3 linked regions of the Cricetulus griseus genome follow. The protein of the gene in region 1 purifies or fractionates together with the protein of each later gene. This does not show direct contact. Links are inferred from orthologs where the notes say so. Each region holds a gene or a part of one and is shown in the gene's direction. Other genes may lie near its edges.

Region 1 (3,759 bases):
TAATTACATCTGAAACAGTCATTTAATAAAGGAGGAGAAAATCAGGCATGCTAACCGGACTGTCAGACCTCTTCCTGTTCCAGTGGTGTCAGAGACGGGTACCGCTCTGGACTTTGCCAGGCACAGGGTGAGCAGGTCCAAGAGAGGCTGTGGAATAAAATGGGTGGGAAGGATAGGGACCCTGGGAGCACTCCATCTGAGTACTCCCTCGTTTCTACCTCCCTGTACTGGGAGTTCAGGCTGACCTTATTCCAGCCTTGACCTCATTTCCACTCATCTGTTGGACATGCCAAGTCACACTGAGACGGGTAGGAGAGGTCACGCAGCAGGAAAATTCGACACAGAATGCTGGGGATAAGCTACAAAAAACTCCCACTTCATCCCACTTTTGAAAGACAATACAGTAAAAGTTAGACTACTGCCCCATCCCAAGTATCTAGGTGCTTAGAAATGTTCTAAAGAGCTGGGTGGCTCTGGCCTGTCTCAAGGGATAATAGTCAAGATGGCAGCCCACTCAGCTCAGCCCTATGAACTGAGGATTAGGCTAAGCAACCTCTTGGGACACCAGCAACTATCACCACTACTGCCTTTCCCTTTGACTCCTGTCTGCACCCCTCCCCCAGGCTACTGGCATATTTAATTGGCCTCTAGAGGAGAGAAAGCGTGGCTAAGATTTAGGTCTCAGCTCCTAGCAACCTCCCTGTAAGCTGATTTGTCAGTGAACCCCAAGTTTGTCCTAGGGCGTCCTAATCTCTACTATCGTCCGTCCGCCGCCCCCCTCCCGCCCCTTGCAACCTGTTCCCTGCTTGGGTTGGCTGCTGGTCTGAAGGACTTTATACTCTTATGTTGTGGGCCCCTGGCCAAGGCTGTTGAGAAAACTGCAGCATGGCTATCAGGGCTTCAAGAACATAGGGAAGGAAGTGAGCGTGCAGCAGCCCAGTGGATTCTCAGACTCTGGTTCCCAGAGATGAAAGAGGACAGCCCCGGGCCTAGAGGGGAGTTGTGTGTGGCCTTAAATAGTGGGGTCGGTGTCCAAGCACGGCTAGGCAGAGCCTAGAGGAGAGGCCTCGAATCTCTGCAGCCCCAAACAACTTATCCAACATCCAGAGCCCACCACGTCTCTAGATGCCAAGAGCCAACTAGGACTTAAGTCCCCGCCCCCTTTAGGAAGCCAACCGAGTACAAGATCAGATCAGCACCACTTCTGACCAGGAAACTTGTTGACGCCCGCACTGCGTGGTGACGCACTTCCTTCCAGTGACGAACCCTGCTCAGACGGCTTCCGACAGGCGGCGCTGGAGGCCTCAACCCTTTGCGATTAGCAGTTGGCCCTATGTACAATGGGAATCGAGGCTCTTGGCTCCGCCTCTTCCTCTTTCGTCATTTCCGGGTAGATTTCCGTGTCCGCTCCAGTCTTACGGGATGACGTATACGTAAAGGTTACACCTCCCGGCAGGCATTACGCATTGGCCCATTGCCTTCTGGGAGTTGTAGTTCCTTGGCCGCTAAAGTTGCAGCATTCAGACAGCCGGAGACTCGGTTTCCCAGAAAGCCGAGCGAGAGTAGGCGGGGGCCACGGCCCGTACCTCGAGAAACCGGCGGGACGCTACGGTAAAGGCAGCTGGCTGTTGTAGCGTGAAGGGACGGTGGAGCGGTGAGCGCTGGCCTCCTTAGGACCGTGCGACCAGGCCAGTCCCCTGCCAGCTCTCCCTCCGGAGCCGGGTGGTGCCTCCGGTGGCGGTGTGTACCCGGAGAGGCTGCGCTCTGTGAGAGCCGGTGATGAGACGAGCTGATGGTCGAGAGCCTCTGTCTCCAGCGTCTCCTAGCGCGCACCCTTTATATGTCCGCACTGTTCTGATCTCATGGTTTGACTCTCTGCTTAACCCTATCTAGACTGCAGCTCCACATCAGTGCGTGCGAGGACACACTATTCGCCACCCAGCTTCGCGAGGCCTCCGCCCGCCTGCGTGACCAGCCAGCGCCCGATTGCGAGCAGAGGCGCCTGGCACATAGTGGAGGTGAAAGTGGGGGAGCCTGGGAGAACGGGGGTGGGGGGGAGCTGCCCAAGTACACCCCTCACAGCAGAACCTGGGCTGCTTCGCTACAGGTCGGGTTCCATGGCGGAGGCGGAGACTGGCTTGGAGGCCGAGGAACCCACCGAAGATGACACCCTGCCTTCTGACACCGTCTCCCTCAGCGACTCGGACTCGGACCTCAGCTTACCTAGTGGTGCTGAGGTGCAAGTGTTGTCCCCGGAGAGGATTTCTGGGGAAGCCCAAGAAGACTCCGGCCCTGATGAGCCTCCCTCGCCCCCCACGGGCGTCCCCACCACCGCAGTTCAGCCGTTCCACCTCCGCGGCATGAGCTCCACCTTCTCCCAGCGCAGTCACAGCATCTTTGATTGTCTGGAGAGTGCAGTCCGGCAGGCACCGCCCTCTGCGCCCCAAACCAGTGTGACTGAAAATGGCAACTTCAAGCGACCTGTGGCTCCCCCAAGTCAGACTCCAGCAGGGAACCTGAGCAGGGTGCATGGGAGTACGGGCCCAACCAGGGTACCTCCTGTGCCCGATTATGTGTCACATCCTGAGCGTTGGACCAAGTACAGCCTGGAAGATGCGACTGAAGTCAGTGAGCAGAGCAATCGTGCTGCTGCCCTGGCCTTTCTGGGTTCTCGCAGCCTGGCATCCCCCACAGACTATGTACCTTCCTTCAACCAGGACCCCTCTAGCTGTGGGGAGGGGAGAGTGGTCTTTACCAAACCAATTCGAGGCAGTGAGACTAGGGCTGAAAGGAAGAGGGTCCTAAAGAAGGGGGATGTGTCAAATGCTGTGAGTGAGGCATCTGTGGAGCTGGCCCATCTGGCAGGGCCTGAGCTTGAGGAGTGGAGTGGCCACCAGGGACTGCAAGAGGCAGTGATACCTTCAGGAGCTGACCATCCTGGGTCCTCATCAGATCCCACAGGGATGGAGGCTGTTGGTTTCCATGGCAGCAAGAAGCGGAGCAGAGAACACTTCCGGAACAGGGACAGTAACCCGGAGGGGCCAGGGTCTGAGAGGGGACCCTCAGTTTGACTGCAGTGCTATCTCTCCACCTCCTCACCTGCCCAGTCCAGGTGGGAAGCTGTGGGCTATTTGTAGAAGGGGTGTCTGGGAAGCAACTCTGACTAGGACTGTGGGAATTGTGGGACCTTATGCCCCCGTTTCTTGGGGTGAAAAATAAAGGTTTGGGATATTTCTTAAATTTTGTGGATTTTTCTGCTCCCTATTCAAGATGTGTCCAAACAGTCCTTGGCAACTAACTTCAGGACTCCATCCTACACCTGGCTTATCTTGCTCTCCCCACTCCAGTGGGGACTGCTGTAAAGATTTGCCATGATCCCTTGCATTTGCTACCAGTGAACCTACCCAGAGGGACTGGGTTCATAACCATGTCCAGCCTTGTACCCCTGATGGTAATGGACGAACATAATCTGTCCCCCAGAAACCAGCACAGCCTCCACACTAGGCCTGTGCAGACCAGTTTTAGGAAGAGGGTAGTTTGAGCCAGCGAAGGAGTTTGGGCAGGTGTCCACCCAAACTAAAGATAGAGCTGGTGTCCTGGGTGTATGTCTCCAGGATTTGTGACCTCTGTGTAGGACACTGCTGATGCTAATAGGCTGATGCTAGGTCATTTAGCTGAAGCTTAGCCCAGGAGGAAGAGAAGGATGCAGGGAAGACACATGAGTGAGTACTTCATGCCGTGGCCAGGGTCCTGAACCAA
Region 2 (4,249 bases), on another chromosome or scaffold:
CTAGATCAATCTCTCCCAAATACCCGTGTATCCTAACTTATTCATCCCCTTTTAAATTTCATGAATGTTTTGCCCGAATGTATATGTCTGTGCACCACGCATGTACCTGGTGCGGAAATCGGATCCCCCAGCCCTGGGGTTTATGGTCTGTGAGCTGTCATGTGGGTGAACCCGTGTCCTCTGCAAAAATATGAAAACTTCTTTTAATCACCAAGCTATATCTTCATCCCCACTTGCTCGTTCTTTACTGGAGCATTCTCTTTTCTCAGACCATTTTCCAGAGACGCTAGCTGACATTTGCCTGCGGGTCACTTTGAACTCCAGGCAGTACTATGCCTCTCTGTTGAACTCCTGAATCAGACTCTGTTCCTAAGGGTTCAGTGTTCATAGACTCAATCAATCCTGTTCCTCCCTAAAAGCTTGTTTGAGGAGCCAAGAATGGTTGTTTGCTTCAGTACTCCACTGAAAAGCACTGGACGTAGAAGTCTGGTTGCCTGGTCCAGCATAGCAATTTGCAGTTTTTCCTGTCTGCCCTAGAGTCTGATGCTCTCCCCAGGTTGAGACTGCTTTATTGAAACAGAGGGGCCCTGATCTTTCCACTGGATGAAAGGGGAGCACATGTAGAGGGATTTGGACACACACATACATATATACTTAATAGCTACCGGGAAGGTACAGCTATTTTTGTGATTTAACCGGAGGCAGGGTTGTTTTCCCTAGTATATTGTTTCTGCAGGTAGAGCCCATCATCCCTGTGGCTAAGCAATCCTTTATACCTTTGGGCTATTGCCCAGTACAGCCTGACTCATGACCTGAATCTATTTATTACCCAACAGGTGGGATTGGCATTGTCTTGCGTAGAGCTGCACACAGGCAGAAAATATCTGTGTAGAGTTACTGTGGTGCGCGTCCACTAAAGCCCCTGGGCACACAATCACTCCCAAGCATGTAACTCCGGCCCATGCACTTATTCTCTGAAGGCCCACGGGGGTGGGACGGAGCAGGAGGGGGGGGTGTCGCAGTTCTGAACGCTGAGCGCACAGAGCAGTAGTTGCGGAGTGCACGCAGTATCGACGGGCGGTGGCCACACAGTACAGCTAGGCAAGTCTTGGTCATGTAGGCTGAATCCGTCTTCCTAAGGCTAGGCAGATTCGAGGCCATGCCAGCACCGGGACGCTCCTCAACAAGCCTACTGGGCTCAGGCTGTGCATCGTCCCTGGCACAGCAACAGAACGCATGACCCTTACATCTGCCTGCGCGGCCCGCTGCGTTAATGGTTAGTGGCTTCCGCGCACGCGTGCTCAGCTTCCCACAGCAAACCCACCCAGCAGCCCCGACCGGAAACGCTTTGCAAACTCACATCTTTGACTTCCGTCAGAGGCTCTGTGTGGGCGGAGTTTTGCGCGACCTCACTCTCTACTTCCGGGGCGCCGGCGACGCAGTAGCCGCCTCTCTTCCAGCTGCGACACCGCGAGTATTCTTCGGCCGCCTACCTGCTCCTCTATCTTTCTCTGCCTCGGCCAAAAACACCGCCATGAACAAGAAGAAGAAGCCGTTCCTGGGCATGCCCGCGCCGCTTGGCTATGTACCCGGGCTGGGCCGGGGGTAAGGCAGTGGGCGGAACTTATACCAGGAAGGGTGGCTAGTGCTCTGGAACACTACTTGCTCCAGGCCTAGTTGAGAATGATACTTGTGACCACTAAGTAGAGAGAGACCTCATCTCAAAACAAACCAACAAAACAAAACAAAAAACAAAAAACAAGTGCCTGAGGGTCTGAGTGTGGTGGTGAAGGTCTCTAATCCCAGCATTGAGGCGGGGCGCGGTGGGGGTGGTTGGGGGGGAGACAAGCCTGATCGGCGTAGCGAATTCCAAGACATCCAGGTTTACTTAAAGAAATCTTGTCTCAAAAACAAGAATAACGTTCACCGCCATATATTCTGAGAGGCACTAGGTAATTTGACACAATGCTTGACAGACATGGTGGCCTTTTTTGTTAGAATAAGCCCGACTGCCACCCTGAGATGTGAATCTGACCTCAGGGATTACGCAGGCGTGTGAGCCTCATTGTTTTGGTGTCTGAAGTAATATGCACAAGCAAGTCGGCTGTAAGGAGCAGTTGAGTCTGATGTGTATAGTAGGAGTGTGCTACTCCTTTATTCCCTTAAGCATCTTTTCCCTCTAGGGTGTGTGGCCATAGGTCACCTTTGGACAGCAATGGCCTATGCCTGCCAACCATAAGGTGTTGGGTAAATGAATAGTATTTTTCCTACTTATTTATGCATTAGATGAGACATAAGTCTCTCCTGTTAATAGTATTTAGAATTGACTTGAATTCACTAGAATTCAAGGTTTGGTGTTTGTGTATATAAGCACACACAGGAGAACAGAAGTTTTAAGAGTGTAGCATTTTAGTCAGATTTACAAAGAGGATTTGAAGTGTCAGATTGGGAAAAGCAAAGAAAAGTGGAATTTATGCCAGGTAGTTCCAGCACTAGGGATCCAGAAGCCAACTTGGTCTACAGATCAAGTTTTAAGACAGAAACTGTCTCAAAAAGCGAACAAAAAGAGGAATTTGGTGTAGACACATAAAAAGGCAAGTAGTGGGCTGTTGAGGTGACTCAGTAGGTAAGGCTCTGTCAAGCCTGAGTTTGATCCCCAGAATCCACGTGATAGAAGGGGAGAATAGATTATTGTCTTCTGACCTCTATACATGTACCAGGTCACACACACTAAATAAATAAAAAAACAGGCAGTTTTAAAAGGCAGCTGGAGGTGTAGCCAACTGTACCATGCCCAGGCCTGGGTTTGATTCCAGCACCTTGCCCAACCTCTTTAAAAAAGACAATGGGAATAGAGAGATGGCTCAGCAGTTAGGAGCACTGACTGTTTTTGTGGAGAACTTGAGTTTCGTAAACGGAGGTGGAGCTTTCATGTCCCGGCTGCACAGTTCCAAATAATCACACAGAAAGTTTTATTAATTACAACTATAATTATATAGTTGTATAATGATATAATTTGACCTATATATAGTTCAGGCTTATTACTAACTAGCGCTTACATTTAAATTAACATGTTTCTATTACTCTGTGTTGCCATGTAGCCCTGTCTTCTTTCTTTCTTTCTTTCTTTCTTTCTTTCTTTCTTTCTTTCTTTCTTTCTGTTTTGTTTTTTGTTTTTCCGAGATAGGGTTTCTCTGTGGCTTTGGAGCCTGTCCTTGAACTATCTCTTATAGACCAGGCTGGTCTCGAACTCACAGAGATCCACCTGCCTCTGCCTCCCGAGTGCTGGGACTAAAGGCATGCACCACCAACACCCGGCTATTTCTTTATTTTTTATTAATTTATTTTTTACATTCCAACCCCAGTTCCCCCTCCTTTTCTCTTCCCACTACCCCACTACCCTACTACCCCTCCCCCCCCACCTCTCATCTGCTCCTCAGAGAGGGTAAGGCCTCCCCTAGGAAGTATACTAAGTCTGTCTCATCTCCTTGAGGCAGGCACCTCTCTACCCCCACACCCCTGTGCCTAGGCTGGGCAAGATATCTCTCCATATAGAATGGGTAGCTGCTGGAGATGGCTCAATATTTAGGAGCACTGGCTGCTCTTCCCAGAGGACTTGGGTTCGATTCCCAGTACCCACGAGAGATAATATTTAAGCCGGGCGGTGGTGGTCCATGCCTTTAATCCCAGGACTCTGGAGGCAGAGGCAGGTGGATCTCTGTGAGTTTGAGACCAGCCTGGTCTACAAAAGCAAGTTCCAGGACAGCCTCCAAAGCCACAGAGAAATCCTGTCTTGAAAAACCGAAAAAAAGAAAAAAAAGGAAAAAAAAAAAAAAAAAGAATAGGTAGCCCTGGCTTTTACTGGTTTGCTGTTGTTTCTTGGGCAGCTGGCTCATGTCTCCCTGGACTCTGCCCCTCCTCTGTTTGATTGTTCTACCTAACCCTATTCTGCCAGGCTAGTGGTCAGCTTTTATTATTAACCAATGGGAACAATATATATTTACAGTGTATAGAAGCATTCTATAGTATATCTCCCTATCTGGCTAATCAAAAAGGAAGGTTTTAACTTTAACTTAGTAAAATTGCATATAAAAGAAAAAGTTCAGTCCCAGTGAGGCCAGAAAAGAAAGGAATCCAGAATGGTGGGATTTGCTGCAAAAAGAATGGAGCTGCCAGGGAGCCTCTGGTAGTGGATTAGTATTTTTCCCTGGTGCAAGAAGGGACTTTGAGAGCCCATCCCATATGAAGG
Region 3 (4,111 bases), on another chromosome or scaffold:
CCTACAGGTACCGACAGGCCTAATGAAATTCACTGGGGTTACAACAAATAAACTCCAAACTAAAGAGCAGTTTAATAAAAGATTTTAGAGTTTCCAGCTCTATAATACCATCTAGCAGTAAAAAGAAATATCAAGAAAAAAAAACAGCAGTAACTAGACAAGCACACTCTTCTAGCTTAAGTTTTTTCCCTTACACAACTCAAAAGTCTAACGTTGTACAGTAAAACCAGGGGAGAGCGCGAACGCAGTCCCCCACTACCACAAATTATGCAGTCGAGTTTCCCGCATTTGGGGAAATCGCAGGGGTCAGCACATCCGGAGTGCAATGGATAAGCCTCGCCCTGGGAAAACCACCTTCGTGATCATGGTATCTCCCCTGCCAGGTAAGTATGAGTTGCAGCCGCCCCGCGCGCGCTCTCCCTCATTATAGACTTACTCTCTACTTACGGTCTGTTTTTTACTGATCCTCCTCTCCCTCACATTCCCTTGGTCTAATAGTGAACCCTAAAACCACCCTGTACATAAGTGAATATTATCCATTAACAGTATGGGAAGCCTTCTTGCGGGGAACCTGCATCCTCTGCGTGCATGTCATTTACATACACCACGCCTTTGTTGTGACGTTGCAGGAATGCGTGCTAAGGCCCCGCCTACTAAGGGTGGCGGGGCGAGGCTTGTTATTGATTGAGGGTCAAGTCTGGAAACAAAAGGGGCGGTGAAAACCTGTCTTTGAGGCTCAGGCTCTGGGCAAAAAAGCAGCTCTAGCTCATCGTTTCCGCCAGCGGAAGGAACTCATCCTCACAGTTCAGTTCTAGGAGATTCACCCCTGTAATGTTTAACTGCCGATAGAAAATCTTTTTACTTTTGCATAGTATTTTTCTAGGTAGGTCTACCACATATCACTTATTTGCATACAAACCACTAAGCCTAATAAAAACCTGGGGAGAAAGGCCAAGATAACAACTTGGAAGAAAGAAATCAGAGTGCACGGTGGCGCACAATTGTAATCTCAGGGCTCCGCAGGTCAAGGCAGGCGGAGCAAAGTCAGCCTGGGCTGTGTAGCGAGTTCTAGGTCAGACTGGGCCAGTGAGACCATCTCAGAGGCTAAATAAAGCGACAGCAACAACAAAAATCCATAAAAAGGCAACTGCTGTTTTCAGCGGCAAAGAAAACGCAGAGCCAAGCTGATCCCCGACCCTCCTCCGGTGCCCGTGCCCTGGGACGCCCTGCGCAGGCGCGCACAGGAAGGGCTCGCATGACCAGCGGAAGTGGAGAGTCGGGACGCTTTAGGGGAGGTACCCGCGGAGTACACAGACACCCGGACCTGCAGGGGACCGCGTAGGCCTCCCTAGGCCGCCATGAACCGGCTGCAGGATGATTACGATCCCTACGCCGTGGAAGAGCCGAGCGACGAGGAGCCGGCTCTGAGCAGGTGGGCCGCTGCCCCGCGGTGTCCGCCCGGCCCTGGCCCGAGGCCGTCGTGCTCGCCGAGCCTGGGTACACTGTTCCCGCTTCACTTGTAGGAGCCTCAGGGTGCCTGGTGGGGCTGCTCAGTCTCTGGGGAACCGGGATGGACAGCAGTGCGGGAAGAGGGATGTTCCAGAATCCCGGGGGGCCCCCAAGCGTAAATCTCAGCTGGAACCCTGCTCCTTAGCGTTTGCTAGCACTGTGACTGAAGGCAAGTCAGTTCTCCTCAGCTTCGCATCTGTAAATGGAAATACAAGTGTGGGACTCGTGAGGTCCACAGGCCTCAGTACTCATCTGGAAGACTGTCAAATAGAAATAACGGAGCAGTGAACGGGGAATTTCTTTTGGCTTATGATAAGAGATACAAAATACACAATTCTTGTCTTGGTCTGTGGTACTTTTGGAAAGGGAGTATTTATCCTACCTGAGGGAACTTGGAATGCTTTTACTTATATGTAAAACATGTTTTTTTTCCCCGTTTTTAAAAACCTTGCCGGATATTAAACCCAGGGAATTTTTTAAATCTATCTGTTTCGGTTTTTTAATTTTAGTTTTGAGACAGGGCCTCAATGTGTAGCTCTGCTTGGCCTGGAACTTGCTCTATAGACCAAGTTCATTTTGAACTCAAGAGACCCACTTGCCTCTCTGCTTCCAAGTGCTAGGGTTAAAGTGCACCCCCCTGACTGGCTTGTTTACTCCTTTATTAACCTAGATTCTAGAGTAGTGGTTCTCAACCTTCCTGATGCTGGGGCCCCTTAATACAGTTCATGCTGTGCTGACCTCAACCATAAAATTACTTCATTGCTTGGCAGGTGTTCGGTGTTTCGTGGGTTGGTTAAAGGAAGAGGATCACTCCTAGATGAATTTTAGGTTTTCTGGCAGCTGGGAGGAACAGTTTCTGTGAACTGAACTCCAAACATTTGTGCAAAGTTGTATTTGATTGTTACACAAAAGGTGTTTTTTTTTGTTTGTTTTTTTTGTTTTTTGTTTTTTTTTTGTTAAAACAAGTTCCTTATACCAAAGTCCCTAATATAGTCATATGTCCATGTCCTTCTGAAGAAAAGCATCACACATGTGCCACTTTAGTCCTTATTGTTCACTGTATTATTGGGTATTGCAGTACCCAGTAATCCAAATTATCCAGGTGTGCCAGGACAGTCTTGTGACCAAAGTCATGCAAAGACTGTAAAGCTCTTTCAGAAAAACAACTCTATAGATAACAGCAAACAATCACTGTTTTTTACAGTGATTTCTTCAAGGTCTCAGTACTTCTAGAAAGCAGCTATTATGAAGTTTATCTTTAATACAGTGAAAAACAACTGTTTCATTCTAATGTTTACCTTAGATACAATGATTCTACTAATTTTTCTTGCTATATTTCTACTTTATAAATAATCTTGCTACTGTTATGAATCATACTATAAATATCTGTATTCAGGGTATCTGATATGTGACTCACGAGGAAATTGAGAACCATTGTAGAAAGGGCATGTGGGTGCTGGGAGGGGAGCTAGATATGAACATGCACACAGTAAGTCTGTTACAAGCTAAACCATCTATTTAACTGCTATATGTTGATATATTAACTGTATATTAATTGTATCTCTCTCTCTCTCTCTCTCTCTCTCTCTATATATATATATATATATATATATATCCTAAATAAAACTCTCAGTTTTGTGAAGTAAGTTTTTTTCAGTTGATAGAATTATGAATTGGTACAAATATTGAAAATCAATGTGATAATACAAGAAGTCAGAAAGAGGGACAGAAAAGATGGCTCAGGGGTTAAGAGCACTGGCTGTTCTTCCAGAGGACCCGGGTTCAATTCCCAGCACCTACAGAGCTGCTCACAACCATCTAACTGTAGCTTCAGTTCTACGGGATCCAGTGCTCTTTTCTGGCCTCTATGGGCACCAGGCAACACAATTGATGCACAGATACACATACAAACAGAACACCCCCACCCCCACACACAAACGAAAGAAAGAAAGAAGCCAGACAGTGGTGGGACACACCTTTAATCCAAGCACTCAGGAGGCAGAGGCAGGTGGATCTCTGGGTTCAAGGCCAGCTTGGTTCTGCAGAGTGAGTTGTCGGACTACACAGAGAAATCCTGTCTCACAAAACCAAAACAAACAAGCAAACAAAAAGTAACCAACCAAACAAATAAAAAACCCAGAAACCCGCCCCCTGAAAATCGGAAGGATTAGCTGATCTATTGTTTATTAATGATTATTGCTGCATGTAATGTGATAGGTATATCAGATGTAAATTTGTCAAATTTACATTTGCTATTAAAATGATAGAAGTTTTAAGTGATTTTATTTTGTTTTGTGATGCTATATTTTTAACCTAGGACCTTGCACATTTTATGTGAGTATTGTACCACTGAGCCACAGCCTAGCCGTGATTTTAATATTCAGGGCTAGAGAGATGGCTCAGTGGTTAAGAGCACTAGCCACTCTTCCAGAGAGGTCCTGAGTTCAATTCCCATTTGTAGTGGGATCTGATGCCCTCTTCTAGCCTAAAGGCATACATGGAGATAGAGCACTCCTGTACATACTCCTGTAATAAATAAATTAAAAACAAAGAAAAATACTTTAGTATTCATATTCCCTGTCTGTTATGTTAGTTCTGAAGA

Evidence for each region.
Region 2: the proteins of Tssc4 (region 1) and pre-mRNA-processing factor 6 purify together in Homo sapiens (affinity purification with mass spectrometry; 3 studies listed by BioGRID and IntAct, counting the BioPlex papers as one, with this or other methods). This does not show direct contact. The link is inferred for Cricetulus griseus from reciprocal best matches to the Homo sapiens genes TSSC4 and PRPF6.
Region 3: the proteins of Tssc4 (region 1) and Eapp purify together in Homo sapiens (affinity purification with mass spectrometry; 3 studies listed by BioGRID and IntAct, counting the BioPlex papers as one, with this or other methods). This does not show direct contact. The link is inferred for Cricetulus griseus from reciprocal best matches to the Homo sapiens genes TSSC4 and EAPP.

What each region holds. Positions count from the first base shown.
Region 1 is NC_048596.1:58,316,367-58,320,125, reverse strand, and holds Tssc4 (protein TSSC4), read left to right. Parts: upstream 1-1,466; 5' UTR 1,467-1,611; exon of another isoform or gene 1,612-1,740; intron 1,741-1,893; 5' UTR 1,894-2,018; intron 2,019-2,107; 5' UTR 2,108-2,117; coding exon 2,118-3,071; 3' UTR 3,072-3,240; downstream 3,241-3,759. UniProt on the Homo sapiens protein: Protein associated with the U5 snRNP, during its maturation and its post-splicing recycling and which is required for spliceosomal tri-snRNP complex assembly in the nucleus.
Region 2 is NC_048599.1:310,456-314,704, reverse strand, and holds the start of pre-mRNA-processing factor 6, read left to right. Parts: upstream 1-1,410; 5' UTR 1,411-1,534; coding exon 1,535-1,605; intron 1,606-4,249. UniProt on the Homo sapiens protein: Involved in pre-mRNA splicing as component of the U4/U6-U5 tri-snRNP complex, one of the building blocks of the spliceosome.
Region 3 is NC_048598.1:147,607,095-147,611,205, forward strand, and holds the start of Eapp (E2F-associated phosphoprotein), read left to right. Parts: upstream 1-1,273; 5' UTR 1,274-1,358; coding exon 1,359-1,432; intron 1,433-4,102; coding exon 4,103-4,111. UniProt on the Homo sapiens protein: May play an important role in the fine-tuning of both major E2F1 activities, the regulation of the cell-cycle and the induction of apoptosis. Promotes S-phase entry, and inhibits p14(ARP) expression.